4 linked regions of the Caenorhabditis elegans genome follow. The protein of the gene in region 2 purifies or fractionates together with the protein of the main gene of each other region. This does not show direct contact. Each region holds a gene or a part of one and is shown on either strand. Other genes may lie near its edges.

Region 1 (7,219 bases), on a different chromosome or scaffold from region 2:
ACTAATTGATAAGAACACAGGATAATTTGGTAGGAGCTTTGTTTCAAACTTCTTAAAAACCAATTTCTTCACAAAAAAGGTCCAGAGCAATCAAAAAAATGTTTTCCAACAAAATTAAAAAAAAAATCATTATGAAACAAATTAGTAACTTGCCTCACTAAAAATGAGTTAACGCATTTTCAATATTTTATTTCCACAGAATCTTATGTAATGCGCGAAGCTTCCTGACACCCTTATAGGCAGATGTCTCCAATATGTCAATCTTTCAGGCTATATGGGAAGCGTTGCCGGAGATGCATGACACTGCTTCTGCCAACTGACATTGTCCATCGCGTACATTTTATGTACTATCATGCGCAATGTTTCAGCTGCTGTTCCTGTCAACGACCATTTAATCTGGTGAGTTGGTTTTAGATAAAATATTGTGATTTAAGTTTTCAATCGTTTTTCAAAATGTAAGTGAATAATATTTCACATTTTACCTGTGTTACCCTGGACTTTTGGAAACTCCCTGCGGAAAGAGCTGACCTATAGGCTCCCTTTATGTTGATTTTCTGTAAAATGTGATTTGTAAGGAATAACTATTTCCTAATTCAGGAATTAAAAGTCTGAGCACTGAAAACGTTTAGTAATACTTGAAAAAATATTGGAGCTTATTTAATTATCAGGACTAACTTTGTTGCAGGGTGATGAATATCATGTATTCGATGGAGAAGTATTTTGTCGGAATGACTACCAGTCCATTTGTAATTTTCAAACAAGTGAGTTTCACTATACCCTTACCTTCACAACTTTTGCAATTTCAGTATCAAATCCAGACCCTCTCATGGAAGAAGTAGTACGGTCAGAAATCCACCGAAAAACGCCAAAACGACCAAGAACGATCCTCAATGCTCAGCAACGGAGACAGTTTAAGACTGCTTTTGAAAGAAGTTCAAAACCAAGTCGAAAGGTTGGTTGGCTGACAGAATTCTGAATTCAAAAAAAATTATTCTAAATAATTCTGCAGGTCAGGGAGCAACTCGCAAATGAAACTGGCCTCAGTGTTCGTGTTGTGCAAGTTTGGTTTCAAAATCAGAGGGCGAAGATCAAGAAGCTGAACAAGAAAGATTCGGATTCAGGGGATACATTTAAACACGGGCCTGGAAGTGAGGGACGGAGCACGGAAGACATTCGAAGCTCTGATGATGAGGAAGAGTCTGTGATAAGTAAGTTGAAGAGAATAGGTATAGATATTGGCGAGTTGTGGCTTTACAAATTGAAATCAGTTTTTCAAAAAGTTAGAAAGTTTGTTCCGTAATGTATCGAGAGCTATAGGTACAAAAGAAACATTACACACGCCTGGTGTATATCAGTCTAAACTACACCATTTTTGTCTATTCTCGAATACCTAGTTAGACCACAGGTGATGCTGAAAGTTTCTAACAATCGGCAATTTTGAGAAGCCCGGTCAGAGCTCTAATCTTTGCACGCCGAAAACACTTATGTTAGTCCGGTTAAATTGGTCAATCTTTTCTTGACTAGCAATCCGGTGTAAAATAGATTGATCCACGTTTTGGGAATATGAGGGTTCCCGAGCCCGGCAAAATTGCGAACCTTAAAACAATCAAATTCAAGAAGGCTTCACGCGTAGTACACATGGTACGGCTAGCCGATACGGTCCGTGCTTGTGTCGGCTAACCATGCCAGGTGAATTCCTATAGATTTGTATAACCGGTGAGGTGTCGGGCGATGCAGGCCCAACTCGAAATTTGCAGCAAGATCGGCCTAAGCTTCACTATACTTTTACATAATTGTTCAGTTGGTCAGTCCCGGATAGCTGAACCAAAAGGGCTAAAACTATAGACTTCTAGAATTCAAACAATTGTTCTTATCAAAAAAAAAATTCAGACCTGGACGCTGACGAGGTGGAGACTTCGGAAACTTCAAGCTACACGGACCCAATTCAAAAACTGTATAATATGACATCTTCCCAAATTTATTTTCCATATCACTCTTGACTTTTTTTGTTCGGAAATCAAACCACCCGCTTTATTTTGCTTTTCACCTCATATTATTTATTTCGAGTTGCTATTTTTTTGAATTTTGAGAAAGATAAATATTTATTTCATTATTTATTTATATAAAAAAGAAACGAAATGAAAAAATACAAAAAAAAAAATGCAAACATGGATGGCAAATCGGCAGGAGGCTTCGGGAATTGTGATCAGTACTTGATGGACCTGAAGTAATCGGCCAGGGCTCCGGTGGTCTTGCTGCACATTTCTGGTTGGAGTCCTTTCTCGTAGATGGAAATAATAACGGCTAAAAGTTTCAGAGATTGTTTAAATCAGTCTAGTAATCCTAGTTAGTTCACCTTGGATAGTTTTGTAGATGAAAAATCCAGATCCTCCTTGCTTTCCAATTATTCTGTCATTATCTGCGTTGAGGACCAAGAATTTTTGTCCTTCCAAGCGGAGGCCGGTTCCAAGAAGAGCATCCTGAAAATTAGAGGGTGAGAATGATATTAAGAGAAGCAAAAGGTACCAAGGAGGTGAAGGCTTTTCCTGCGGCGACGGCTTCTTCGACGGAGATCTGGAAATACGTTACTATTCAAATTGTACTGCTTGATCTACTACAGTGCTCAGTGCCCCGACTCTAGCCTCAACTTATGTTTTCCAAAAAATAACGAAACCTTATTTTTAGGACTAAAATAATCCTACACTACAATATTCCTACACCATCTTCACCGACGATTCCTTCAATAGATAAAACGTATTTTTGAACAATAGTAACACTAAAGTACTTCTACAGTACACCAACACACCTTTCCTACATGAAGACTATTTTTATAACAAGCTAAATATGCTTTCAGTAACAAAACTCACGCAGGCGGTATTTGTTCATTATCTGTCAATGCACCATGTACTAATCTTTCAAAACTGGTGCAGACAAAATATAGATTTTGATAGAAGTTTACAGTGTTTTTAGATCAGAGATGAGATTCAAAGAGAGGTGGTGTATCGACCAGGAGTTGCATTCCTAGAGAAATACCTAGAATTCTAGCCTAAGAAAATTGCAAGTCCTTTCCAGTTTTAATATCTCAAAAAAGTTCTAACACCAATCACAAGCTGATCATGCCACTGAAAGTCGAGATTTTGGCAACTTGACAATTTTAAAAACTTTGAAAACTTACATTAAAGTTATCACTCTTTGCCCATACAGCTCCGTCGAATCCAAGAATGGCAGCCTTGCTCACATTTCCAGACCCGATAAGGTTATTGTTGATAATATCAGACCACGACATGTTTTCGTTTTGTGTGTGCTGAAAACTTTGAAAGTAAAAGTGAAAGTCTAGAAGCTCAAAACGTGGAAAACGGGGCACAATTGTGCAGTGCGTGGGAGAAAGAGAGAGAGATATGGAAACAGATGACGCTTGGTTTCTGACGTTTTCCAAAAAATCATGAAGAAATTATTTTGAAATAGCAGTTTGGAGAGATGAGTAATGAACACATGTTGATTAGATATCTGATCGCATGTCTGGTAAACGATTATGAAATCAGGTCTAACTACCTGCTTAGGAGAAGCTAAAACTTGGTTTTATAGAAGCTAAAACTTGGTTTTACAACAAAATTTTTTTTATAATTCGTTGTTAGGTAATTCGATGTCTATAAAATATTATTAGAATTTTCAGCGGATACTTTTAGATGGAAAGCGGCAGTTATTTTTATAGCAGTTTTGTTTTAGAAAATGACGTAAAATTTTCTACAAATTTGTGCCACCTTCAAATTTCTCAACTTTTACAAAGCATTATAGCAACATTAAATTAATACGACCAGGTGCTTAACATCAATATTGAAATCAGTGAAAGTTTGAGTTTGAGCCAAGAATTACAGAGCAAATAAAAAACCTTGAGATTTCTTGTTACCAGTACTGGAGAATTTAATTATTGAGGTTAACTAGAAAGGTCTCAAATCTAAAACCTGTCTGAGATTCAAAAAAAGATAGAAAGAATAGGCCCAGTATTTTTATCCTTAAATTTGAAATACCCACAATTGGATAGTTACTTTTAGGAATACTGTAAAAACCGGGACCAGAAGTGTTATCATGACTCGACATCTACCGGGTTACGCTCCGCATTGTGCTTCCATCAGTAGTGAGTTAGCTTATTGCAAGACCGAATCCCGGTAGATGTCCGGCCATGATATCATTTGGGGTGCTGATTTTTGGCATTTCCTCAGAAAATTATCCTCAAAGTGGATGCCTACTAAATTTCAAGATTTTCACGTACACGCACACCAGTTTTGTTACATTAAATGTAGTATTCGAAAAAAACATATATAAAAGACTTTAGAGCCACAGCAGGTAAATTATTTCTTAACAAAATTTTCATTTTTGGTCAGTTTTGCAATTTACCACTTTTTGATATTTTCAGAAAATACGGCAATATGGGGAAGACGTCATAAATAAAAACAATTCGAAAAAATTAACAAAAAGTGAGAAATCTAACTTTCAAAAAGTTTCAATAAACGTTCGTTTCAAAACCGGGACGCAAAGAGATCGGAAGATATTTGCGTGGGGTTCGTTGCTCGCTGAGCCTCTGTTGGACATAAAATGTGAGACTAAGACTGAATTGCCGCTCAATAGCCGTAAGACACCAGTTTGTCTCCTTGCCTCCCGTGTGTGTGTGTGTGAGAACAGTGTGTTGATCCTGAAGAGAGCGCGCGCCGATTGGAACAGTGTACGGGGGAATGAAGTACCGCAGATAGATGAAGGGCGGGAGAGGAGTCGCTGTGGCAGAGGAGAGCCTATCCCCGGGGCAGAACTCGACAATCATAGTGTAAAGCTGTCGTTTGCTCTATGTCTTTTTCTCTCATTTGCTTTATCTGCAGGTTCCACTGACGCGACGAAAACATTCAAGAGAGAGAAAGGGAAACGGATAGCCCCGCTCACCGACGGCCATCGAAATTTCAAAAACTATTGATTGATTTGCAAGGAAAGTGTCTAATGAGATCAATGTCGAATTTTTGATTTGCGGCTTGCACGCTGAAACATAAGGATGCTTTTTAGGACGGCTCATTTTGGCGTCCACTCAACAGGAAACGTCAGCCTAAAAATTGAATCTAGATAAAATTTGATGAAATAATAATATTTCGTTTTCAAAGTTCATGTGCCAAAAAACTGGAAAAAAACGATTTGGATCATAATATCTTTACTAACACGGTACGAAAAAACAAAATTTCCTGGGGCACCCAATGAAATTTGGTTTTAAAAATTAAGCTCTACAAAAAAATTCAAAAATTTCAGAGTTGGTACAGTTGATTTGTTGATCGAAAAGATGACCCCATTTAGTTTTTAGAAAAGAGTTTTTGTCAATGTCATAAATTAACAATAAACTGTGACAAAGAAATTAGCAAAATAAAGTTAATGTGACCATCTCGGCAAAACGGCCTAACTTCATAGCATACTCTTGCAACTTCTTAACAACAATTAGACATTTTAGCTTTTAAGCAAACTTCTGCAGCTTTTCAGACGACTTTTGCAATTTCTTAGTAGATGTAAAGCTAAATTTCGCTCACAATCCCGTTGGTTTTCGCAACTTCTTAACAGCTTTTTACAAAGTTATATAAATGTTTTTATTAAGTTGCAGGAGTATTCTATGAAGTTGCGACGTTTTGCCGAGATGATATGAATTACATTCAGAACATCGAAACTTCGGAAACTCAGTCCATTTTCAAAAATGGGTTTCTGTTAAACTGGAATGTTTTCAAATGGCTTTACGTGGAGTGCGCGGCAATCGGAATTTATCGGCAACCTGCAATTTCGGCAATTGCCGGTTTTGGAATTTTTTGGCAACGGCAATTACCGAAATTGCCTCAATTTTGATTGCAGCGCACTCCTGGAATGCTTTTTGTAAAATTATTTTGACAATTGAAAGCTGAATACCGCGCAGTAGATCAGAAACGGCAAATTGCCTAACTTGCCGGTCATTTGTCAAACGACGAACTTTTTTTAATTCTCAGACTATCAAAATCAAAAATCACCTGAACTTTCGAACATATTACGGTATTTTCAAAGGTGCACGGTCGTAAAAATGGTTTGTTTGGAGTAAAGAAGTTAAAAGCTTCTTATTAAAAACTGACGTGAAAATGGATTCATATACGGGCAAGTTCACCATAAAAATAGTCAAAATTTTGCTGAATTATTTTTAGCCAACACTGTTGTTAGTCGTTGTCAAATCGTTGTTGAAATTGGCATTCGCAGAAAATAGTGATTTGCCGACACCCCTAATTGATGGAATTCACCAAAATTGGGACCCTAACCGCCGACATCTCACGGGTTCCTTGCCCCACTATATTTAACTCGCTGTGCGCGCGGCGAGCTGTCTTGCAGTTTTCTTATTTTGAGTGTAACTTAATGTTATCAGCTGAAATTTTATTCATATCAGTGATATTTGTTATATTTATTACACTTTGCAGGTGAGCATGTTTCAATAACTTCAAATGACAACTCTTATTTTGTGCACTTTTGGGAGAAATTAACACTAGATATATATTCAGAGGAAAATGTTTGATTAAAAAATGACCAGAAGACTGAATGTGCGATTTTTCCAGTCTTCAAAAGATCAAATATAAGTAGCAGTATGCCTAGTTCTGTGGAATGGACAAAACTGTATGCTCGTTTTTAAATATTTTGTCAAAACTTGATATCATGAAGTTTTAGCAGTTGTCGCCAAATTTGTGTATACTTATTTAAACACGTGGAGTTATTTTGATTTGATCTTCAAAAAATGCGGGAGTTGAGACGCAGACACATAAATGTAGAATGATCTGAAAATGTTGCATTTTCTGTTTTCGAACCATAGAGCTTATGCCCTAATAAACTGGACAATAAATAAAGTTTCAAAGTTAATTTTTTTTGTTTCAGTATGAAAAACCAACAAAAAAAATAGTACGAAAAATGATTCTTAAAAAACACACGACAAAAAAACTGAGGCAAGTTGGTAGAGGTGTGAGAGAGAAAAACGTTTAGACAAACAAAGAGGCGTCCACCCGGAGACTTGCGAGAGCCCTAAAACTATTAGAAAACGTGAAGGGGCCAATTTTTGAATTTCTGAAAAGATTGGGGGAGGGAAAATACAAAGTAAAACGGTAGAAAAGAGATTTTGTAAAATGAAGATACATGGAAATTGATACAGTCAAGATTACAGATTTTTGACTTGACAATCTATTCATGAGCA
Region 2 (8,338 bases):
AAATCCTTCAAAAGTTATTAAAAAATTGGAAAATAAAATTGAAACAATTAAGAGCAAAAAAAAATTCACCAAAAATACAATCGAAAATAAAAAATCATCATAAAATTCCAAAGTTTCAATAAAAACGCTGAAAATCTTAAAATTTCAAAAAATGGCAGGTTTAGGCTTAGGTTTAGGCCTATAGGCCCCAGTTTAGGCTTAGGCTTAGGCTTATGCTTTTGCTTAGGATTAGGCTAAGGTTTGGGCTTATGCTTAGGCGTAGGCTTAGGTTAGTTGAGTTTTTCCATTTCTTAAAAAAGAAAACAATTGTTAACAAATATATAAACTGATGTTTTAACACTCAAAAAATGCTTTAAGTTTCTAAAAAATATTGAAATAATATTTTTTAATTCAAAAAATTTGAAAAATCCAATGATTTGTCGCTTAAAAATATTATTAAATTTTTTTCAAGTCACAAAAATATAAACTTCATAAAACACTCAATAAATGCTTGAAAGTTTTTTTGAAAATTAAAAAAAAAGTCGATGCACCATGTCTCAATTTGTGGGTCTCGGCACGAAAAACCTCCCCCGTTTACTCTCCCGTTTTACCTTGACCATCACTACAGACTGTCTTCTAAAATTTTTTGTCGAGCAATTTTATTTGATTTTGTTATGATCCTCCTCTTCTCCTTTTCTTTTCCTCCTCGTCTCAATTGTTGTTGTTTGTTCAGGAAATACAAGAAACCGGGTGCCCCACCACCACCAGCATTTTTGTTCTTCCACGCATTGATTTCAACTACGAGCTGAATTGGAGGGAAGGGTGCGGCTTATGCATTTCTTTGCTCAATTGTGCTCAATTGAAAAATGAAAACAATTCGAAAATTTTTGTTCGTTTTTTTAACTCAGAACTTTTCGTTAAATACCGTTGCCTCTGCCGTGAAATTTGGTGATGGTTGATTGTTCAGGCAGTAGGTGTGAAAGCAGGCGTAGGTCACATAGGCAGGCATGATTTTAATAGGCAGGCAGGCATGATTTTATGAACCTATTAATAGGCAGGCATGATTTTATGAACCTATTCCAATTTTATTTCTAAAAAGTGAATTTTCTGAAAGGAATATGCATAAATTAAATCTTGAGTGCGCTTCACTTCCGCTTGAGCACCCTTTAAATTTTCAAATTTAGAAAATCTGAAAATAAATTTTCCAGAAACGTTTTTTGTTCTGACGTGTTTTTTTAAAATTTATCTTTTTGAATTTTATTTTTTTGACATTGTTCGGAATTTCTAGCACGCGCTTTGGTATTTTTTGCCCATATTTTAGGCATTTTGGGCACACTTTTTTTTGTATGTGTAGCACATTGTGAGACATTTTTTAGCATAGTAATGCCAATTTTGGGACATTTTTGGCACTTTTAGCCCATTCTGTGGTATTTCAAGCATCTTTTTAAGAAACTTTGTGACATTGTTTTTGGCATTTTTGGGACATATTTGGAACTCTTAAAAGGACATTTTTAGGTATTTTTGGCACATTTTTTCTGGTTCCTCGGGCACATTTTCATGCATTTATTTTGGCATTTTCACCAAATGTTTTTGATCTTTTTTTTTTTAAAGTTAGCCATATTTGAAACATTGTTTTGGAATTTGTCATACATTTTTAAGCATTTTCAGAATTTTTTTGGTATTTTAAGTACATGTCAAGGAATTTTTTTGCAATTTTTTTTTGCATTTTTATTATTTTCAGCTCAATTATTAGCCACTGTTAAGAATTCTGAAGCATTTTTGGCACATTTCAGGGGGTTATTAACATTCTTAAAAATTACGGGAGATAAAATGTTTGGTGCGTTTTTTTCTGGCATTTTTCAAATTTTTGTTTTTGCATTTTTAAACGGAACAGAAAATTGCCAACAAAAAAATAAGGCAGCATGCAGACAGATAGGCCTCCATGCTGCCTTACCTACCTGCATATGAAACCCACTTGATTTTTAAATTCAGTTGATTTTGAGCACTTTTTAATTTGTGTATGTAATTTCAAAAATTGAAAAATTAACGTCTACTCATTAAAACGCAGGAAAAAGTTGCAGAAAAAATTTGGCCACCGATTTATATTCCTCGGCCACAGTTACATCAGTGTACCTAGACTCTATCTCAATTTGGCTCCGCTCTCACAAATGTTGTGTTTTGTTTTCATCACCACAACAGCAACACCTTTTCTCTTTTCAATTTGTCGTACTTTACCCCCCCCCCTGCACTCCTTCCAAAAAGTGTCAAATTTCTCCACAGACACATACTGTTTGTCTGTTCCAGGCCCTTACCTTCTCTAGTACACTCCCCTGCTTCTGGGTGGTGTCTTTTCTCTTTTGACCAAAACATTATGCCAACCGAAGCGCGGTAAACCGTAACCGACACCCGAAACCATAAAGCTTTGCTGATTTTATGCAGATTTATCCCAACAAATTTATAGCTTATTGCCAGATGTTTGGTTTTCCAACAAAAATTTATTGTTAATAATGCCTATAAAAATTGAAAATATGCTGCTAAAATGCCCAAAAATCCTAGTGAAATTTTTCAAATTTTTTTTTGAAATTTTTGACTTTCAGCAAAAAAGTAGTGAAAACTCATTTTACTAGAAGTCGACCAAAAAAAAATTAATTTAAAATTTTTTTCTCCAATTTTAAAAATTTTAAATTTTAAAAATTTTAAAACTATTTTTATTAGAATATTCCCAGGCTTCAACCCTGCAGAAATGCTTAAAATTTTTAAAAATTCGGCAGTTTTTGAAAAAAAAACTCAACTCTTTGAAACAATGGGAGTACTGTTAATGACTACTGTTTCGTTTTTTTTGAAAACCAGATGTTTGGTTTTCCAACAAAAATTTATTTTTAGTGGTAGGAAAAATCCAAAAATCATAGTAAAACTTTTCAAAAAATGTTAGAATTTTTTTTTGTAATTTACAGTAAAAAGTAGTGGGAAAATCCTGATTTTTTCCAAATTTTAATGATTTTTTAATTAGTTGCCCTGAAACATTATAGGGGTTTGAAACGTTTTACGAAATTTCTAAAAAAACACATTTTTTCAAATATAAAAAACAATCCGGTTTTTATAATTTCCTGTCATTTCTCCCTTTTTTGAAATAATTTTATTCTTTTTAAAAAGGAAATCAGAAATTATTTTTGACAATATTTTTTTGGGCTTTCTCGTAAATTTTTCACTACATTTTTTGATTTTTCTTTTTTATTTTGAATGTTTCGGAAAAAATATTCAGCTTTTGACTATTTTCAGCCATTTTTTCAATTTTTTAAGTGTAATCAATGTTTTGTTTGATAAAATCAAGCTTTCCGGGTAAATAAAAAAAAACTTTACAAAAAAAAATTTTCGCAAAAAAAATCACGTAAAACTTTCTACCTAAACCTTAATCTTTTCATGTAAACACCAAGAGAATTTTTTTTTGAAAAATTGAAGCTCTTACTGAAATTTGTAAACTCTTCTAATTTTTTTCATAGTTGCAGTGAAAAAATTCCAGATTTTTTTGCCAACGAAAAACCCATCCGCCTGCAATCTAGCTAGCTTAAAAACTTTCACTGAAGCTTATACCACCTGCTGTTTCTATTTTCAATCTGCTATTTTTTTTTGGATTGGCCGGAAAATGGAAAATGGAAATAACGTGGCAAATTGTCAAAAAGTAGCTCTCCTGCTGTGATAATCCCCGCAGTTTTCAATGCTAATTTTAATGCGATTCCTTGGAAATCTGATCTTTTTATTCTTGCATTTTAAGTGGTTTAAAATTACCGAAAAAAAATGGTTTGGCGGCAGACAATATGGCGTTTTACCATGCTAATAATTTTTTTTCAATAATTTTTGAATAATTTCTAACCTTTTAAACTTTACATCGAATAAGAAAATGTTAATTTTTGAATTTTTTTCAAATTTAAAAACGCAATTTTAGAAATTTTTCTTGCTGGAAAACACCACACATCATACCTACCTACCTCATGCCTGCCTATTTTTGAACTCCTGTCTTTTTGAAATTTTTTAAAGTTCAATTTCAAGTTTATCTTTTGTTTCCTATCAGTATACATTTCTCGAATTTTTCAAGAAAATCTATACAGTACAACTACTACATATACTTCAATTTCCCTTTTCTCTCTCTCTCTCTTTCCGTTCACATTTCCTTTCTCAATTCCGTATTTTTTGTTCAGTTACAAATTTCCTTCATTTTGCAGAAATATCCACACAATTCCCAACTGCAAAGAAAAAACACAGAAAACTGTTAGAAAATGGACTACATTGAAGACTGGGTCGACAGAGCAATGTCCTGCTTTTACAGAGATCGGTAGGTAAAAAAACATATAATAAATTTTGAATTTCGCGCCGAAATTTTTGACAAAAAAATTGATTTTGAATTTTGCTTTAATTTTTTTTGAAAATTTTTTTGGACTTCGGGACAAATGTTCTAAATTAAAATGTTTAAATATTGCGCCAATTTTTTTCAATTTTCAGAAATTAATATTATCATAATTTATCCTTATTCCAGTGACAAAGACGATCCCGGAAAGCAGCATGTGCATGATGACGTCATTTTTGCTCCAGCCCCATTGGATCCTGCAAAAATTGATAAAGATTTTGAGTGCCTTGTTGTAAGTTTTTTTTTTCGATAATTTAATTATCTTAAAAACAGTTTTAAATTAATAGAAAAACTTTAATTTTCAGAAAGAGCTCGGTTTGAACGAGGAAAAGCAGCAAGAAATGCACAATTACTCGATGGAAAAGAAAATGTCACTACTGGTTTCACAACATGTAAGATTAAAAAAATATTGTTATTCAAAAAATTCAAAAATCTTTAATTTAACCATTAATTACATTTAATTTAAAAAAATTTCAGAATTTTTTTTCAATATTCAGATTTTTTTTCGTTTTTGGACGTTACCTATTTTTTCTTCAAATTTAAAAAGTTTCCAATATTTTTTTACCAAAAATTTAGGAAAAATATCAATTACCGTATTTCCTCTATTAGTCTTGCATGCAAGACTAATTTTCGATTGACCCGTAGGGGTGCAAGACTAATAGAGACTGCAAGACTATTAGAGGCTGCAAGACTAATTTTCGAAGATCCAATAGCTTTGTAAAATTGATAATTTATCGTCAAAAATTTGGCTTGAAACTGTCTAAACCGTGCAAAATACATTCTTTTCTATTGTTTTATCAATTATTTGAACACTTTAAAATTTAATTTAGCTAAAAAATGGCAAATTTTTGAAGTTTTGACAAAATACTGCTGGTCTGGCAAGAATAGAGGCGCAAGACTATTACCGTATTTCCTCTATTAGTCTTGCATGCAATACTATTAGAGGCTGCAATACTAATAGAGAAAATACGGTAAATAAAAATTCCAGACGTTAATTTTGATAGAAAATTTTCAGACCCAAACATTTCCAGTTATACCTCTGCTCCCCTACTTGAAAAATTTTTTAATTAAAAAAAAACTCTATTTCTAAAATTCATTCCGCTAGTTTGTAAAAATGTTTTTTTAAGTGCTTCTCATCATAAAAAGCATGACTGAACAGAAATTAGGTCAATTTAAAGGAACATGTAGACCTTCCCTTAGACAACTATTGGGGTGTGAGGAGTGTGCCAATTTAACTACATTGTAAAACGAGAGGTTATGAACCGAAGGTAGAGACCGACCACATTTTTTAAAGTAAAAATTAGATAATTGTTTGTTTTTGCTTTCTCAATTAAAATTTTAGCAGTTTAGAAATAGCTTAAAAATAAGCAGACTATAAAATAAATTTAATATTACGAATGGCAAATTTTTGCTTCAATTTATTGTAGGCGCGTTTTCAGGCGTTTTCAATATCTACCTATTTCCGCCTGCATTTTGAAATTGTTCTAAATGATAGGAACAAATGAATGTTTAAAACTTTTCTTAATTAAATAAATTTGGAAAAATTAATTAAAAAATGGATGATCCAAACTATTGTTACAAATAAATTTTATGGATTTTTCCGTTTTTTAAATTCTGATTAAATCAAGTACACCGAAATTGTACACCTAAATTTTAAAGAATTCAAAAAATTGACATTGAAAATTCTTAGTTTTTGATCAAATTTCATGAATTTTTATTGAAATAGTTGAATTATTCATTCATTTATTTATTTAATCAAACTCTCCATAAATCATCTGTTTATTTATAATTTTTCACCTCCCAACACCTCAATGAGGGCAAACTCAAAACCCACAAAATAACACAAGAACCTGCGAGACGCAGACAGTATCAAATGAACTATCCCGTATATTATCGAAATTCTCGCCGTTCCCCCTCCACGACCTCCCATTATGCTTTTTGTTTTCATATTGACTTTGAAGCACCCCTTTGCCAATCATCATTGTTCTCGTATCAAAAAGGCTGAGGTTTATCGGTCTTTTATTGCAAGTAACTTTGTTCCCGTAGGAAATATAGAAAATTTGTCAACAGAAAAATAATTAAGAGATGATTTTGAACATTTCTGTATTTGGAGTTTTTAAATAGCAGTTTTGGCAAAAAAGTTATGTCAGTTTAAACTTTTTAAGTTTTGATTTTGAGAAAAACCAACTTTAAGTTCAAATTTAGATATCAAACTTCTCAAGTAATATAAAAATTTTCTAGAATGTGGATTTTACAATTTTTAATGTCTACCTGCCTGCGTGCGTGCCTACCGCCTATTTTTTTGTTGGTGCGGGCAGGCAGGCATGCTTTTCCTGTGCCTACATTAACCATATTTTTACAGTGTCTTCAAACAGAAGACGCGTCACACTTCATTGGGTTCCTCAAAAATTTGCAACAATCATTCGTGATCGACTCGAACACCATCAGACAACTTCAGGAACTGGTGATTTCGCTGAGGACACAGAATTATAGGTATTAACGTTTTTTTTTTAATTTTTCAAACTGCTTAAACCGCTTTTATAGTGTTAAAATGGCTAAATGTCATATCATATATCACAGAAAAAATTTCAAAAATGTTGTGAAATTTTTTTTTACAGTGAAAAATTGGATCATAATTTTGGAAGTCGACCAAAAATTGTTTTTCCAAACAACTTTTTTTTTTGATATGGGATATTAATTTAAACCACCTACATATATGTCACTAAAACACCTATTTATCAAAGAAATTTTTTTTTATTTAAAAAATTTAATGAAATTTTTAGTCAAAAAGCTAGTAAAAATTCAGTCATAATTTTGGAAGTCGACCAAAAAAAAAAGTTTTTTTCTACGATTTTATAATTTAATTAGACCATTATTGTTTGTATTTTAACATTGTAGGGGTTCAAACGTCAAGCAATGCACTGAATATCTCAAAAAGTCATCGTATTTCAGAAATTTGACAATTTACCAAAACTAGGCCTAAAAATTTTGAAAAATCTGAAATTGTTTAAAGCAATTCATTTAGACATTCGATCATTTTGATTTATTATAAAAAAGATCTATAGTACGTCCCCACTTACGATGTTGAAGGTGAGCCTTCTAGGTAGGCCCAAAAATGCCTGCCTGCCTACTTTTCTTAACCACTTGAAAAGAAACGTACCTGGGCGATGCACAGTTTTTTTTTTATAATTTCAAATTATTTTCTAACATTTCATATAGGAATTGAAAATAAGATATTCACAGCTCGGTCAAAAAATTTTTTGTTTTGAATTTTTTTATCGAAAAATTGTACAAAAAATTACAAAAATGTGTAGGCAGTAGGCAGGCAAATATTTTTTCCAGTAAAACCTATAAAATCCAACTTTTTCCCCGTCAATTTCCCATCAGTATTGATGAACCAATTCTTCTTGTAAGGACATATGTAAATTTGGAATGAGAAGAGAAGTGCCAGCTGACGGCCAAAAAGCAGTGTTCCCTTCATTTTCCCCTCTTTTACACTTTCATCTAAAATTTATCACCCCTAAACGACAAATTTCAAAACGAGGCGGAAAATTAATTCATTGAATTGACACTAGATACACAATTGAATATTGCTTTAGGGTTCCTTCGGGATTTTGGGGACACATTTTGGGAGGCCTGGACCATTGTGATAATGAATTTTGAATTTGAATAGGCTGAAGGCACAGGAATGCCTGCCTGGCTGCCTACATGCCTACTGAATTTTTTTTGCAGAAAGAGCCATCAGAAAATTCTCTATTAGAAGAGCATGCATTTGTTCCAAATTTACGTAATACAATTTTTATTTTCAAAAAAATATATTTTTTCTTTTTTTTTCTATTTTCAGTTTTACTTATAATTCCCAATTTTGACATTTTGGAATTAAAAAAAAATGTTTTCACGTTAGGCAGGCTCTGCCAACGTGCCTGCCTACCTGCCTGCCTACCGCCGAAAATTGAC
Region 3 (8,516 bases), on a different chromosome or scaffold from region 2:
GAAAAGGAGCAGTTTTCTTTGCCAAAATTCACTCTGATCGAAAGTGATGACGGGTTCAAAATTGAAAAGTTGACGTGAGTTTGTAGGCAGAATCTGGTCATCTGATGAAAAAAAAACTATATTTCAGATTGCTCCGTCAAACGGAAGGTCTCACTTGTTACGAAGCCGACATAGGAATGTTCGAAATGACTCCGTTCTCATCGCCGGGCTGTCGATACTTTGGTATTTCGGACAAAGCTCACGAAAAAGATCTAGTGGTTCCCGGAAATGCGCATATCGAGATGAGAGCAGAAGTTGATCAGCCGATAAGCTTTGTCACTCAACTTTTCTTCATCAAAAAGAATGTCTAATTCTTCTTATTTCCATTTCATCCTTAAACCCATCGTGTTCAATTATCCCCTCTCCTTGTTAAATGTTTGTTTTTTTTCTTTTTTGATGTTAAAATTCCTCTTCGAACACGGTCAACATCTGCTTTAAGTTTTAGAGTTCATGATACTCAACTTTCAATTGTTTCAAGATCTCCCAGTTTTCAGTTTGGATCTCTGCTCGTATTTCTCCCCCGAATCGCATTTAAGGAATATGTAGTTCCATTTTTTTCTCAATAAGCTTTTTTATTCGGTTGAAATTACTTTTTGAAGCCGAAAATAAACATTAATTTTATTCAAAATAATTCCGCTATCTAGTAATCATTCGTCTTGAATCGACTATTGGAGTTATTTTCAGATAATTTTCTGTAAGCTTCAGAAAATTGAAAAAAAAAACATTTAGTTATGTTTAAAAAAAAACGTTTTTTTTTATGAAACTCTTTATTATAAAATTGAAGAATTGCAAAAAAAAAAGAGATTTTTCCAATTTTTCAAATTCTAAATTTTGCTCCAGTTCTAGTACACATTTGAAAGTATGCATGTACATCGAAAAACTCACTAAAATCTTTCGCTCTTCATATAAAATTTTCATCAAACTGATGTAAATTCTCTCCCCGTTTTTTCGCCTTTTCCTCTCTTCGTCTTCATCAGATTCTCACGTGTTTTCATTTTTTTTCTCATTTCTTCTCTTCAGACACATACATAGATATACAAGAAAAAGCTGTCAAAACATTGTCTCTTTCTCCATAAACCTGCGTCTCTTACTACTCGCTATGAGAAAAAAAAGAAGAAAAATCTTGAAAATGTGTAAAAGTATGCATTAAAAAGCATGTGAAATCCCACCGAACACCGGCAGCCTAGAAAAATCCATTTGAAACAATTCGGCCATCAAAGTGTTCTGTTCCTTCTTGTTCGCCCCGGCGACCGATCAATTCGTTCTTTCTCTCCGCACTCACTCATTTCACTCGCTGCTGCTACTGCTGTTTCTTTTTCTTCTTCCAATTTCTACTCGTGATTGAAATGTGTATATGCGTAGGGGTGTTTATACAATTACTTTCGGTATTTTTTTTGAATTAACTGTTTCAAGCCAAGCTTTTACTATACGTTTGAAGTTTTTTGTGGTGGAGTAGTTTTTGTGGGGCTTTTTTATGTCTGACAAACCATAGAAAAAATGAGACGAAAAATCTATAGCCGAAAACCGGCAAAAATGCCAAAAACTACGTAATTCGTTTGCCCGGTAATTCAAAAATAATTTTTATTTTTCTGATTTTTTCGCAAAATTAAAAAAAAAATTATTAAAAATCTAGAAAAATCCAATAAATTTTCAAAGTTTATTCGGTATTTTTACAGCTGTTTTCTTTCATTCACAGGGCAAAACCCCCACAGCTTTATCATTTAAAAATTGCAATTTTCATCCCAAAAAAATCTTTCCCTTTAGCCACTTTTCCCATACCTCTAAATAATTCAAAGTGTAATTCCAAAACTCACAAAGTAAACCCTTCGTGTCCTTTCAAACTATATGACCTTAACCATTAGTAGCAGAAGCACTTTCGACACTTCTCATCCTCATATTTCCAGCCAAAAAAAGGAAAAAAAGAATGTATCACATTTCATTCATTTTTTAATGATAAATATTTTCCTGCGGTCGCAGAAAAGCTCAATGATCAGCTTTGACTGCACATCGAAGAGTTTTTTTTCTAGTTTTGTGCACGTTTCACTTAATTTTATGGAAACACTTGTTGAAAGTGGTCATTTTCATTAGGTATTGAATTACTTTATGTACGTTTGAATTTTATTTCGTTGAACTTTTTAATTTTGAAAAAAAAAACCTTTTTGAAAAAAATCGAACACCTAAAATTTAGATTTTAAATTTAAACAAATCAGCTCAGATTTTAGTTTGGTTTTATGCTAAAACACTTAATTTTTGAACATTTTCGCCTTTTTTTTGCATCTTTTTCAATTCATGTAACTTCAGTTAAAACCGACGTATTTACTGATGAACACTACAGGAAACAAAATTTTTAATTTTAAATTTTTTAGTATCAATTAATACATGGGTTTTTTACCCCAAACTCTATTAATAATTAATAAAGTTTTTTGCTAAAAATGACGTATTTCAACCAGAAAACTGTCAAATACTTTCTCTGAAAAAATCAATAAATACACTTCTCCACGAGGAGTACACTAGCTGCATAAATCGACACACGGTCTTGTTGGAGTTCTACAAACGCTAACATTTAGTGACAAAGTATTTAAAAATATTATCGCTAAGTGTGCTAAAGTTATCTGAATTTCGCTGCTTCCTCGAACAATTTTTGATCACTTTTTCAATTTTTCCAACTGGAATCAACCATATTTTCAGATAAATCAGATATTTTTTACAGTTTTTCACTGAATTTTAATTTCTTTTTTGTTGAAAAAATTAGAATTGATAACAACTTCCTTCCTCATTTTCTCTCATATTTTTTTTCTCAGATTCCATCGTTTCCCACTCTTCGAGTCTCAAAAATCTCCATGACGACAAATCCGATCTCTTTGCTCACACACAAGCTCTCTATCTCCTCTTCTTTTCGTCCTTTTTTCAGTTTTTATAACACAGACCGGAAACTTTACCCCTCATACACTCTCTCTGTCTATTCCAACCGATTTGCTTTTGAAATATTTGGAGGTGAAGACGAATGAACACGCGCAGGAAACAAATAAGCGAGATAGTATAGGGAGGCTATAGAGACGCAGACGTCGAAAACCTGGCAGGTTCAGTTGACTACTGTAGAGTGGCGGTTGCTGCTGATGCTGTAATAATTGCCGATTAGAAGCGCCTAGTTTTTTTGCCACTTTTTTTATAATTTGAAAGACTAGTAGTGTAATTTTAGGGTTCAATGATGTAGTTTTTGGTTTAAAATATTTTTTTAGATTGTTTTTTTTCCTTTTCTCGTTCTTTTTTCAGACATCATTATAATTTAATTTTTCAGAAAAGCAGAAAATGGACGATGAAGACATGAGCTGCACGTCCGGGGATGATTATGCCGGTTATGGAGATGGTTAGATTTAAGCTGATTTAAAAAAAAATATTTATCGCCAAACATAATTGTAAATTTGAAAAAAAAACTGAAATTCTAGATTTTTCGTTGAAAAATTTCCAATTTTCGATTTTCTTTAATTTTGAATGAACAATTTTCTGCAAAAAATCACAATTTTCTTGGTTGAAAACATTCTCGCTTTTAAAAGTAGTAGATATTTTCAGAAAATGCATTAAAAGGAACATTTTTCTGGAAAAAATTTCAATTTTCTGGCCAGGAACCTGGATTAAAAAACAAATATTTCGATTTTCTTCACAATCAGGGAAAAGTTATTATTTTTTAAAATTTAAAAACAAAAATTTGAACCATAATATAACTACAAAAATTTGTGTTTGAATTAACTTTTTATTAACTATCTAATGATTTTTTTTAATATTAAAAAATTCAAAAAATTGGCTTGTAAAGTTCAGAGCAAGAGTGCCGCTTTTCCGGAAAAATTGAAATTTTGTCAATTTTTCTTCTTTATATGAAAAACCCCATTTTTTATTTTCTCTCACAACCAATTTTTAAATTTTTAAAAATAAATGATTAATTATCTACAGATTGTATTGTCGATTTCCTGGAAAAATTTTTTTACCAAAAAAAATTTGAATACTATAAAATTTCATTAATTTCCAGAAGACTACTACAACGAAGCGGATGTAGATGCCGCTGATGACGTGGCAGTGACACCGACACATTCAGAGGAAGCTGATTATGAGTGTCTCTCTGTAAATCAAGTAAGCAATTGTATACACATTGTAAAATTAATTTAACTGAACAAATTCAGGTCGAACGGGTATTCATCGACGGTGTAAATTCACTTGTATCCAGAATTTCAATAAATGAGAAATTCGCTAGAATACTCTTACAAGCTAATCATTGGGATGTTGATAAAATAGCTCGACTCGTTCGAAATGATCGAAATGATTTCTTGAGAAAATGTCATATCGACGCAAAACCCGAACCGAAACGGAAATTATCGTCAACTCAATCAGTGTTAGCAAAGGGTTACTGTAGTGTATGTGCTATGGATGGATATACTGAATTACCACATTTAACATGTGGACACTGTTTTTGTGAACACTGTTGGAAGAGTCATGTTGAATCTAGGTAAATCGGGAGGGGTTTGCACATTTGAATGTAAAACTAACAGAAATAAACGTCTGTTTCAAAAGTTAATAACCGAAATTATTGTAAAAATTCTTATTTGATTGGTGTGTTTTTTTAAATAAAAAAATACAAAGAAATTCCGGAGAATTCAAGAATTCAGAAAAAAGGGAAAATAAATACACAAATGCATGAAATTTTTTAAAAGGAAATAATGCAAAAAAAATGCACAATCCCAAAAAAAAGCAAAATAATCAAAAAATGCTGACAACATTTTTTTGAATTTTACAAGTTTATGGAAATATTCGTGTTCGGAATTCTATTGCCAAAAGTTTACTTAAAATTATCAAATTTTTAGATCAGCGATTCAACTGAATACTATTAGTGTTCATTAATAAATATAATCAGTTAATTAAATAGAAAATAGATTTTGTAAGATTGAAAACTAAACTACAGAAAAATCGTTTTTTTTTTCAAAATTTTATTTGTATCTTCAAAAAATTCCATATTTTTTCCAGATTATCAGAAGGCGTTGCATCACGAATCGAATGTATGGAATCTGAATGTGAAGTGTATGCACCATCTGAATTCGTTCTCTCGATTATTAAAAATTCACCGGTGATAAAGCTGAAATATGAACGATTTTTGCTCAGAGATATGGTAAATTCTCATCCACATTTGAAGTTTTGTGTTGGAAATGAGTGTCCTGTGATTATACGATCAACGGAGGTTAAGCCAAAACGAGTTACTTGCATGCAGTGTCATACTTCTTTTTGGTGAGTTTTTACACTTTTTTTCTAAATTTAAAGCAGCCAAACTCGGTGAATTTCGTAAAAATGCCTTTTTTACAAAAATATTGCTTCCGATTTCCATTTTTAAATGACTTATTTTATTCGGCAAGTTTCAGAAAAATCTGTTCTTTTTCAAAACCCACTCATCAAAATTTATTGAATATTGTATTTCTAGAAAAATTAACTCTCAATTTTTTTTTCAATGTACGAACATTTTCAATCTTCTAGGTCTCGTAGAAAGAAACTAGTTTTTTTTTAATTTAATAATAAATTTTTAAAACCTGAACCCTTCCAAAACCGATCATAAACAGTTATTTGAGAAATGCCATTTTCCAATATCATAAGTTGATAATGTATATAAACATTTCTTTTGTATATCCTTTTTCCATCCAAATTTGCCATGTCACTAAACTCCGAAATTTCCCCAAATTTTTAGTGTAAAATGTGGCGCCGACTATCATGCTCCAACTTCATGTGAAACCATCAAACAATGGATGACAAAATGTGCAGATGACAGTGAAACAGCGAATTATATTAGTGCTCATACGAAAGATTGTCCACAATGTCATAGTTGTATTGAAAAAGCTGGTGGATGTAATCATATTCAATGTACAAGGTGTCGACATCATTTCTGTTGGATGTGTTTTGGTGGTGAGGAATTTGGAAATTTTAAAATTTAAATTTCATGCGAATTTTTCTTCTCGAACTACACTTCTAGTCATGAATTTAACGAATATTGTTTTAATTCAGAAAATAAAACTAACATCGGTGACTGGTTTTCGAGTATTTTAAATAAATAAAGTATAACATCTACAAAATTTGCACAAAAAAAATCAATACCTAATCTAAAATTAAATTTTTTTTAGATTGGAAAAGCCACGGAAGTGAATACTACGAGTGCAGTCGATATAAAGAAAATCCATCAGTGGCTGCTGAAGCTAATCATGTAAAAGCACGAAGAGCTCTCGAGAAATATCTTCATTATTTCGAACGATTCGAGAATCACTCAAAATCGTTAAAAATGGAAGAAGAACTGAGAGATAAAATTAGAAAGAAGATTGATGATAAGGTAAGGATATTGAAATTACAAAATTTTGCTGAAAATTTTCTGTTTTAGGTCAACGAGCACAATGGAACATGGATTGATTGGCAATATCTTCACAAGTCGGTCTCATTGCTAACGAAATGTCGATACACGCTACAGTATACCTATCCATTTGCCTACTTTCTCAGTGCGACTCCCCGCAAGAATTTGGTATGTTTTCTTGGAAAAGTTAGAGTTTAAAAGTATGAACGTTCCAGGTAAAGTTTTAAAGTTCGGCTGAAAATTTGAAAAAAAGAAAGATGTATGATTATCTAAAAAAGACTGCAATATCATTTTTCACAATAGTGACTACTGTAGAAAAAGATTTGTAATGTCATACTGCCGACTAATAGCATTATTTTACGATGATTGCTATTGAAACATAGTTTTTTTCCGAGGAATTTATTGAAAACCACATATATTTCAATAAACTTGAACCTTGCCTCTAGTTTCGAAAAGTTTCCGGTCCTTCCTTCCACTTGAACATATTCTTGTCTTCTTCTCCCAACAAGTGTATTTGTGTATTGTATTGATTCATCTTTAAATATACAACGAATTCCCTTCTTCCGTAACTTTCACAGCAGACAGAATGATACAATTCTTTGAAATTTGTATTATTGTTGTTGACAAGAAACGAATTCCTTGGAAAATAGTGGCAAACACGTGTCGCGTCATTGATCAGAATCATCCCCCGGTTTCTGTGTGTGTGTGTCTAGAATCGTTTGAAGAACCAGAAAATCTAAATCTCAGAGAGTTTCACTGATGAAAAGTGTCACTTTTTGGACACGTAGACCCTGTACTCACAGTATGGTGCCGTCAGTTAACTCTGTGGGTGGTATGAGACGGGAGAAGAAAAGAGGAAGCCAGTTTCAATGGAATACTGATTATTTGATTGATGATTCGGAAAAGTGGCATGAAACGGTTTTGGATCTCAAAGTTCAGAAGACTGGAGGTTCAAACAAGTCACGATTTTTAATGATTTGAGGATCACTGTCCAGAATTTCAGTACTCATTCTATTTCAGCTTCTTGTTGTTAAGTTCTGCTGATATTTTCTGAAAACATTCATCACACAGGAAATTAGGCAGTTTTTAAGCATCGTAGCGTACTGTGGAATACCGGAAGTCTTCCCAAACTTCTAGAAAAAACAGAAAATTTGATTCCGAATTAGAAATTGAACTCTGAATTGAAGGTGTATTCCCGCTCTAATGAGAATGCTGAACAAAATCTTCCTCTTTGATCAACTTCTTGAATATCCGAGATCTCTTTTCATGCTCATGGATTTCAGTTAGGGGTTTTCCAGAATAGTGAAGATATCGAGCTCATCATTCAGACTTTCCCGCTCTCCATTTTGCACATTCTCCAGATCTTTGACATTTCCCTTTTCCATTCAATCACTACACTTCTACACATACACACCATTCTCCTTCCAATCTCAATAATAAGTCTATAAATCCCCGTCCTTCCTCATTATCCCCCACTCATCGGACCCGTGCTGCTGCTTGCCTGCCCGAAATCCAAAATCAGTGCCGATAATCCGGCTCTCGTCCTTCTCTTTCAAATCCAGTCTCTCTCTCTCTACCGACGCAACGACTACAAAATCTGCCCAAATCTGGGGGAAGGTGAAGGATTTCAGAGAGAGAGCGAGGACGGATTAATGGAAATAAATAGTAAGAGACATACACACACACTTTTGGATATTCCTACCTTTTCGATTAATGGACATACATGGAATGGGAAGAGAGAGAGAGAGAAAATGGAAATACTAGTAGTAAAGAAAGAATTCTATGGAAATTTCAATTTGCCGGAAAAGGTGTTATGAGGAAGATTATCAAGTATGAAAGTTCAAAGCTCCATGCTAATAGATTAAGAATTTGACATTTTTGAACATCGGATTCGAGGTTCCTTATCAAGTTTGCAGCTTCTCCCTTGTAACTGAGAATAGTCTTACTGTAACCTTGCGAAGGATTAGACTTATCTCCAATTTTCAAATGGGAAACGTTCTTATCAGTAATGTTCTTTTTGAAAATGAATGTTCAAGGACAGATAGCATTAAACTCTGCTTTGGTTTCTACAGTAATCCCAGACTTCTGGATTTCAAGTCTCAAG
Region 4 (8,544 bases), on a different chromosome or scaffold from region 2:
TTGTAGAAAGCCAGTTTTTTTTCAATTTTTTGCGTTTTTTTTTTAGAGATTTTGTGATTTTTCAGGTTGAAACTACTTAAATTCGCTTTTTTACACTTTTTTCCTGAAATTTAAACTGAAAATCAATTTTTTTTGCTTTTTTTTGTAAAAAAAAATTGCTGAATTTCAGGTTTTTCCCACCATTGTCGCGGAAAATGGCTCTAAAAATGAGGCAAAAAAACCAACTTTTTTCAATTTTTCAGTGAAAATTAAGTTTTTTAACATGAATTTCACGATTTCCAAGCGAAAAACCAACTTTTGCAGCTATCCGTTTGCACAGAAGCTCCTTAGGCTTCTGCGGATTCACACATCCCACTATATCTCCGACCTGGACGTTTTTATTGCGAATACCTGAAATTTCAGCCACTTTTATGTGAAATTTTCATTCAAAAAACTCCTACTAAATCGCTCGGCGAGCACCAAATCACCGTCATGAATCGTCGGATGCATCGATGGACCACTACAGATCACCATTTCCCCGATGTACTTGCTTATGCAGTGTCCGACGCAGTAAAAAGCGGCGGTTCCTGGAATTTTTGGGTTTAAAATGCAGTTTTCGGAGGAAAAATTGAGAAAAAACCTTTTGTAAACCTCCAGAGAAGCTTCAAGCCCTTTGATTTGACCATATTTGTCAGAAAATCTGGAAAAAGATGTGTTTTTCTCAAGTTTTGACGCTTTTTTTAACGGAGAAAACACATTATTCATAGAGTTTTCACAATTTCGGCATGACTTTTTATGAATTCACACTAAAACCAGTGATTTCTAACGATTTTTAGGTGAAAAATTGAATTTCAACACTTTTTAAAACATTTTAAGAGCGAAAAACAAAAATAATAAACAAAAAAAAATCGAAAAACATTCTCGCTGTGCATTCTGCCGTGGCGGTGTTTGCGTACAAAACACCAGAAAACGGTGCACGTGACGTGTCGTTTTCACTTGATTTTATCGCTTTTCTCTTCCGGATTTCGCAAGAAAACCTCAATTTCTCCACGTTTTCAAAGCCAAATTTCTTGAAAACTTCATAAATTTATAGGTTTAATTAATAATCGAGCCAAAAAATCCAATTTTCAGCCAAAAATCCACTTTTCAGCAGAAAAAATCCACTTGTAGCAGAAAAATCAAATTTTCAGCCAAAAACTTCAATTTTCAGCCAAAAATCCACTTTTCAGCAGAAAAAATCCACTTGTAGCAGAAAAATCAAATTTTCAGCCAAAAACTTCAATTTTCAACCAAAAATCCACTTTTCAGCAGAAAAAATCCACTTTTAGCAGAAAAATCAAATTTTCAGCCAAAAAATTCAATTTTCAACCAAAAATCCACTTTTCAGCAGAAAAAATCCACTTTTAGCAGAAAAATTCAATTTTCAGCAGAAAAAATCAATTTTCAGCCAAAAAATCCACTTGTAGCAGAAAAATCAAATTTTCAGCCAAAAACTTCAATTTTCAACCAAAAATCCACTTTTCAGCAGAAAAAATCCACTTTTAGCAGAAAAATCAAATTTTCAGCCAAAAAATTCAATTTTCAACCAAAAATCCACTTTTCAGCAGAAAAAATCCACTTTTAGCAGAAAAATTCAATTTTCAGCAGAAAAAATCAATTTTCAGCCAAAAAATCCACTTGTAGCAGAAAAATCAAATTTTCAGCCAAAAACTTCAATTTTCAACCAAAAATCCACTTTTCAGCAGAAAAAATCCACTTTTAGCAGAAAAATCAAATTTTCAGCCAAAAAATTCAATTTTCAACCAAAAATCCACTTTTCAGCAGAAAAAATCCACTTTTAGCAGAAAAATTCAATTTTTAGCCAAAAAATCTAATTTTCACCCAAAAAAGCCGTTTTCAAAGCCAAATTTCTTGAAATGTTCATAAATTTATAGTTTTAACCGTTTATAATCGAAATAATTACTTCAGAAGGTCGTCGTCAGTGTAAGATGGCGACCAACGGCGTCTACATCGTGATGGGCGAGGCGAATTGTGTCGTCGCGCTGCTCAATAAGGCTCGGAGGTTTGTTTCAAAAAAATTAATTTTGCGTTTTTGGAATTAAAAATTAATACTAAATTCCAGACAATACCAACTGTCACAAGTGCCGACGCTCGAAGACACGGATCCACTGCTGCGAAACTTCACAGATCTCAAGGAAGTGCTGAATGAGGTTGCCGATCTGGCAGATATGAATCCACAAACGTATCTATCACCGTTTCTCGACGTAATAAAGGCTCAGAACACGAATGGACCGATTACGGAAGCCGCGCTGGCCGCTGTCGCCAAATTTCTGAACTACGGGCTCATTGACGCGAGCAGTATTAAGGCGGCGAACGCTGTCGAGTCTATCGCCTACGCTGTGGTTCATACAAAGTTTATCGGCGGGAAAAGCACTGGAAGTGATGAATGTGTCCTTTTTAAGATTCTACAGGTACCAGGAGTGCTGAAAATTCATGTTAAAATGTGAAAATCTAAGAATTTCAGGTCTTTTTCTCAGAAATTCGAGAAAAAAGGTCAATTTTCATAAAAAATCAACGCAAAATTTGCTAGAAATGTGCCAAAATTTCATTAGAAGTGCAAATTTGGATGAATTTTATGTTATTTTTACCGTTTTTCAATTATGAAATTTTAAAAAATTTTTAAATTTTTTAGCGATTTTTGGCTTCTGTAAAATCTAAAAAATCGCGAAAAATACAATATTCATTTGATTTTTCATATTAAATGCATTTATGCATTTTTTCATGCATTTTTTTATTGGAAAAATGGAGTTTTCAAGTTTTTTTTCTATGGAAATTGTGAAAAATCCACAATTCTATAGACAAAAGAGAAATTTGTCATTAATTAACTTGAAAATTCCATTTTTCCAATAAAAACGCTTGAAAAAAATGCATAAATGCATTTAATATGAAAATTTAAATGGATTTCGTATTTTTCGACGTTTAAATTCTAAATTACACGGAATTTCTAAAGTTTTCACAATTTCGGCATTACTTTTTCATGAATTTAAACTAAAACCAGTGTTTTTTAACGATTTTTAGGAAAAAAAATTGAATTTCAAAACTTTTAAATAGTAAAAATTTTTAAAAAAATTAATTTTAGTCCATTTTTATCCGATTTTCTCGAATTTTCAGAGTTTTTAGCCAATTTTTAGCCAAAAAACTTCGTCAAAAATTCAAATTTCTACCAGAAAACCTCCAGAAAAATACCCTAAAATCGCAGAAAATAGGAATTTTTTAGGTTTTTAACGAAAATAAAAATCAATTTTTCATGGTAAAAATTAAAAAAAAAATCGATTTTCACTCCATTTTAATGCATTTTTATCCGATTTTCTCGAATTTTCAGAAATTTTTAACCAATTTTTCATTGAAAAAAAACACCTAAAAACTCCCAAAAACCATGATTTTCAGGTTTTTAACGCAAAAAATTTAATATGAAAATTTAAATGAATTTCGTATTTTTTCGCGATTTTTTAGATTTTACAGGCGCTGCTAAAAACCGCCGAAAGTTCACAAAAAAAAACTCCAAAAACCTGATAATTTCTAAAAATTTCAAAAAATCTCAATTTTCCAGGTGCTCCGCTCGCTGCTTCTCTCCCCTCCAGGCATCCTTTTGTCTAATGAAGCCGTCTGTGATATGATGCAGTCTTGTTTCAGAATTGTGTTCGAGCAGAACCTCTCTCTGCTTCTTAGAAAGGTAATTTTGCTGAAAAATCCCAAATTTTCAGCCAAAAAAAATTCAATTTTCAGCCAAGAAATTCAATTTTCAGCCAAAAAATCCAATTATCAACCAAAAAAATTCAATTTTCAACCAAAAAATCAAATTTTCAACCAAAAAAAATTCAATTTTCAGTAAAAAAATCCACTTTTCAGTCAAAAAATTCAATTATCAACCAAAAAAAATCAAATTTTCAGCCAAAAAAATCAAATTTTCAACCAAAAAATCCAATTTTCAGCCAAAAATCAAATTTTTAGTCAAAAAATCCAATTTTCAGCCGAAAAAATCAAATTTTCAACCAATAAATCCAATTTTCAGGCCGCCGAATCGACGCTAGCCGACATGACACAGCTCATTTTCACCAGATTGCCAACTTTTGTCGAAGACACCCGTCATCCATACATTCGGCAGCTGGTATTCATTGAAAATCGCCGAAATTCCCTCTAAAAATCCGATTTTTCCAGGTAAATCCCACTGAAAAACGACAAAAACGGAAGAAAAAGCGTCAATTGTCAGTGCATATTGAGACGAAGGCCAAGGAACCGGAGAATGTGCCAACGGAAATGACAAAATTGATTGGAGAAGCTGCAGAAACTGCTGAAACTGACGGAGCAGCGAATCTTGGTGCGGGTTTTAGCACAAAAAACCATTTTCTAAAGCCAAATCTCTCGAAAAATCGAAATTTGAGCACGAAAAATGCTCCAAAATGTGTAAAAGTTATGAAAATTAACCGGAAAAGCACAAAAAAAGTGTCAATTTGAACTAAAAAACGCCTCAAAAATGCTCTGAAATTTCTGAAATTTCAGGTTTTCCAGCAGTTTTGCGAAATTTGAGCTCTCAAAATGCTCCAAAATTGCGAATTTTAAACTGAAAATCTCCGGAAATTTGTGAATTTGAGCAAGATTGGTTTAAAAAATGCTCTAAATAGCTTGAAATCTCAATTTTTAAGCAGTTTTCTGAATATTTGAGCTCTGAAAATGCTCCAAAAATGCCAATTTTAATGTCAAAATCTCCGGAAATTTGCGAATTTGGGCAAAAAAGCTCAAAAAAATTTAAATTCCTTGAAATTTCGGTTTTTTAGACTGTTTCCAATCATCTGAGCTCTCAAAATGCTCTAAAATTGGCAATTTCAAACTCAAAATCCCCGGAAATTGTGAATTTCTGTTTGAAAAACCCAAAAAATGTTCTGAAACTCCTGAAATTTTGGGTTTTTGAGCAGTTTTCTGAAATTTTGAGCTTTCAAAATGCTCCAGAAATGCTCCAAAACTGTCAATTTTAAACTCAAAATCTCTAAAAAAGTTTCCAAATTGTGCGAAAAAAGCCCCCAAAAGTGCTCTAAATAGCTTGAAATTTCAATTTTAAAACAGTTTTCTGTATATTTGAGCCCTGAAAATGCTTCAAAATTACAGGCTACGACGTAGTGCTCACGACGGATCCACCAGTCGATACAGTAACCCACCCGGATCCACCAATTGAAGAAATCATAAAGCTTGCTGAGCCAATTTCAGCCGGAGATGAAGCCGATTCAGAATCAGAAGGCGGTGGCGGTGAAGAGCATCACGAACGTCCCCCCGTTCGGGCTCACGCTGGATTACAGAGAGAAATTGTGTCGGATGAAGAGGAAATCGATACGGAGCAAACTGTTGGAGGAGAAGAAAAAATGCCCTATGGGCTCCCATGTTGTAGAGAGCTTTTGAGGTACTGAAAAGTTGTCTGGAAGCCCGTTTTTCATGAAAAATTGCTCTGAAATGCTCAAAAATTCGCTGAAAAAGTGCAAAAATTGGTTGAAATTCGCTTTTAGGAGCTGAAAATTGTAAATTTCTGGTGCTTTTTCGGCTAGAACTGGCAAAAAAAACGGCCAAAATTCAGAAAAAAAAATCCATTTTTCAACTCAGAGACGCTCGAAATATGCAGAAAATTAAAAATCAGAGCCTCTGAGGTATGAAAAATCGCCCCTGAAAGCCCGATTTTTGATCTGAAATGCTTTAAAAATTGGTTGGAAAATGGAAAAATTGACTCAAATTAACTAATATAAGTGCAATTTTAAGCTTCTGGAAGCTGAAAATGTTTTAAAAAAATTTTTATGTAAATTTTCAGCGATTTTATTGGAATTTTCCAAATTTTCGATCAATTTTTAACGAGAAAATCTGGAATTTTTTTCCATTTTCAAGGCGATTTTCACCGAAAAATCGCGAATTTTACGAATTTCCAGCCAATTTATTAAATAAATCAGGATTTTTCCAAATTTTCGGTCAATTTTTACCGAGAAAATCTCGAATTTTACACATTTTTGGTCATTTTTCCCCCGCGAAACCCAGACTTTTCTAAATTTTCAGCCATTTCTAACCAAAAATCGTGAAAAATCTATACTTTTGGTCAATTTTCACGGAGAAAAGCGAGAATTTTTACATTTTCGGGCTATTTTCACCATCGATTTTCACATTTTCACTGAAAAATGGGTAATTTCATCCATTTTTGGTTAATTTTCACAAAAAATTTGTACATTTTCCGAATTTCCAGCCAATGTTTTAGATAAATCACGAATTTTCCACATTTTCAGTCATTTTTCGCTGTAAAATTTTGAATTTTCAGGCTGTTTTCACTGAAAAATCTGGAATTTTTTACATTTTCGGGACTATTTTCACCGAAAAAAAATAGTTAATGTTCCAAATTTTTAGCCAATTTTCACTGAAAACCATTTAAAGTTTCCAAGATTTCGACTATTTTCCACCAAAAAATTGTGAATTTTCCAAAATTTCAGTTAATTTTCATTGGAAAATCTGGAATTTTTTCCATTTTCCGGCTATTTTCACCGAAAATTTGTAAATTTTCCGAATTTCCAGCCAATTTATTGAATAAATCAGGATTTTTCCAAATTTTCGGTCAATTTTCACCGAGAAAATCTGGAATTTTTTGCATTTTCAGCCAATTTTCGGCGGAAATCTCTCAATTTTACACATTTTTGGTCATTTTTCACCCGCGAAACGCAGACTTTTCTAAATTTTCAGCCATTTCTAACCAAAAATCGTAAAAAATCTATACTTTTGGTCAATTTTCACGGAGAAAAGCGAGCATTTTTTTACATTTTCGGGCTATTTTCACCGTCGATTTTCAATGACGGTAATTTCATTCATTTTTGGTTAATTTTCACTAAAAATTTGTAAATTTTCCGAATTTCCAGCCAATTTTATAGATAAATCACGAATTTTCCACATTTTCAGTCATTTTTCACTGAAAAATCTGGAATTTTTTACATTTTCGGGACTATTTTCACCGAAAAAATAGTTAATGTTCCAAATTTTTAGCCAATTTTCACTGAAAACCATTTAAAATTTCCAAGATTTCGACTATTTTCCACCAAAAAATTGTGAATTTTCCAAAATTTCAGTTAATTTTCACTAAAAAATCTAGAATTTTTCACATTTTCGGAACTATTTTCACCGAAAATTTGTGAATTTTCCGAATTTCCAGCCAATTTTTATCCAAATCTACCAGCTTTTTTTTGGGATTTTCAGTCGATTTTCACAATAAAATCCCAACTTTTTTTTCCAGATTCCTCATCACAATGACCAACCCAGTTGACCGTCACAATACTGAATCAATGGTAATTCTCGGCTTAAACTTGCTCATTGTTGCTCTGGAAGCCATCGCCGACTTCCTTCCAAACTACGATATTCTCATGCCACTTATCAAAAATGAGCTCTGTCGAAATTTGCTCCAACTGCTCGACACGAATCGCCTACCAGTGCTCGCCGCCACAAATCGCTGCTGTTTTTTGCTGTTTGAATCGATGAGAATGCACATGAAATTCCAGTTGGAAAGCTATTTGAAGAAGCTTCAATCGATTGTGCTCACCGAGGAAAAGCAGCATGAAAACGGTGGTGGTGGAACGGAGCAAAAAGAAATGGCTTTGGAGTCACTTGTTCAGTTGTGGAGAATTCCCGGATTGGTTACCGAGATGTATCTCAATTTTGATTGTGATCTCTATTGCGGGTAAAATTTTGGCTTCGAAATGCTAAAATTTTGGTTAAAATCGAGTAAAATTGGATTTTTGTACGGAAAATTCACTTAAAAATGTGAAAATTACTCTGAAATTGGCGAATTTTGGCTTAAAAATGCTGAAATTTTAGTCCAAATCGAGTAAAATTGGCCCTAAATATGTCAGAAATTACCGAGATTTATCTCAATTTTAATTGTTAAAACAGGAATTTTGGCTTAAAAATGCTGAAATTTCAATTTAAATCGAGTAAAATTTGAAAAATTTGATTTTTGTGCTGAAAATTCACTTAAAAATGTGAAAATTACTCTGAAATTAGCGAATTTTGGCTCGAAAATGCTGAAATTTTAGTTTAAATCCAGTAAAATTGGCCATATTTTAGCTTAAAAATGTTGAAAATTTGCTTAAAAATCGGTGATATTAGCCCGGAATTAGTTTTTGCTCAAAATTTTCTCAAAAAACATGAAAATTCGACATAGAAATTGGCCTGACTAGCGTGAAGCCGATTTTCTCGAAAATTGGCTCAAAAATTACACGAAATTTCACCCAAAAATCACCTTTTTTACACAGAAATGTTTTTAAAAAATCTGTAAAATCCGTTTTAGGGCTGAATTTTCGCAAAAAAAATTGATTTATGAGCCTATTTTCGTAAAATTTTTGCTCGAAAATGCCCAAAAATTTGCTTAAAATGTAAAATTTCCGTTGAAATCTTCGAAATTTTTTGAAAATCACACAAAATTTCGGCATAAAAACTTTATTTTCTGAAATTTTCTTGATTTTTTACACATTTTCTGCATGAAATTTCAGTCAAAAG

What was found.
Region 1: the proteins of daam-1 (region 2) and pfn-3 fractionate together in Caenorhabditis elegans (co-fractionation; one large-scale study listed by BioGRID). This does not show direct contact.
Region 3: the proteins of daam-1 (region 2) and ari-2 fractionate together in Caenorhabditis elegans (co-fractionation; one large-scale study listed by BioGRID). This does not show direct contact.
Region 4: the proteins of daam-1 (region 2) and gbf-1 fractionate together in Caenorhabditis elegans (co-fractionation; one large-scale study listed by BioGRID). This does not show direct contact.

What each region holds. Positions count from the first base shown.
Region 1 is NC_003284.9:1,077,340-1,084,558, forward strand, and holds pfn-3 (Profilin-3), read right to left. Parts: upstream 3,311-7,219; 5' UTR 3,287-3,310; coding exon 3,176-3,286; intron 2,575-3,175; coding exon 2,527-2,574; intron 2,481-2,526; coding exon 2,357-2,480; intron 2,305-2,356; coding exon 2,207-2,304; 3' UTR 2,091-2,206; downstream 1-2,090. Other genes in the region: LIM/homeobox protein lim-6, read left to right, coding at 270-399, 686-761, 807-952, 1,010-1,208, 1,891-2,000; Guanine nucleotide exchange factor rei-2, read right to left, coding at 7,207-7,219. UniProt on the Caenorhabditis elegans protein: Binds to actin and affects the structure of the cytoskeleton. At high concentrations, profilin prevents the polymerization of actin, whereas it enhances it at low concentrations. By binding to PIP2, it inhibits the formation of IP3 and DG.
Region 2 is NC_003283.11:79,686-88,023, reverse strand, and holds the start of daam-1 (FH2 domain-containing protein), read left to right. Parts: upstream 1-4,191; 5' UTR 4,192-4,253; coding exon 4,254-4,309; intron 4,310-4,510; coding exon 4,511-4,613; intron 4,614-4,686; coding exon 4,687-4,773; intron 4,774-6,743; coding exon 6,744-6,874; intron 6,875-8,338.
Region 3 is NC_003282.8:5,547,797-5,556,312, forward strand, and holds the start of ari-2 (putative E3 ubiquitin-protein ligase ariadne-2), read left to right. Parts: upstream 1-3,337; 5' UTR 3,338-3,348; coding exon 3,349-3,406; intron 3,407-4,063; coding exon 4,064-4,164; intron 4,165-4,214; coding exon 4,215-4,537; intron 4,538-5,052; coding exon 5,053-5,310; intron 5,311-5,761; coding exon 5,762-5,976; intron 5,977-6,191; coding exon 6,192-6,394; intron 6,395-6,442; coding exon 6,443-6,580; intron 6,581-8,516. Other genes in the region: cec-6 (Chromo domain-containing protein), read left to right, coding at 1-74, 128-350. UniProt on the Caenorhabditis elegans protein: Might act as an E3 ubiquitin-protein ligase, or as part of E3 complex, which accepts ubiquitin from specific E2 ubiquitin-conjugating enzymes, such as UBC-2/UBE2L3, and then transfers it to substrates.
Region 4 is NC_003281.10:11,767,085-11,775,628, reverse strand, and holds the start of gbf-1 (Golgi-specific brefeldin A-resistance guanine nucleotide exchange factor 1 homolog), read left to right. Parts: upstream 1-1,947; 5' UTR 1,948-1,967; coding exon 1,968-2,041; intron 2,042-2,101; coding exon 2,102-2,450; intron 2,451-3,589; coding exon 3,590-3,712; intron 3,713-4,051; coding exon 4,052-4,147; intron 4,148-4,197; coding exon 4,198-4,357; intron 4,358-5,142; coding exon 5,143-5,431; intron 5,432-7,285; coding exon 7,286-7,726; intron 7,727-8,544. Other genes in the region: immp-1 (Peptidase S26 domain-containing protein), read right to left, coding at 296-390, 441-566, 620-665. UniProt on the Caenorhabditis elegans protein: Guanine-nucleotide exchange factor (GEF) for members of the Arf family of small GTPases involved in trafficking in the early secretory pathway; its GEF activity initiates the coating of nascent vesicles via the localized generation of activated ARFs through replacement of GDP with GTP.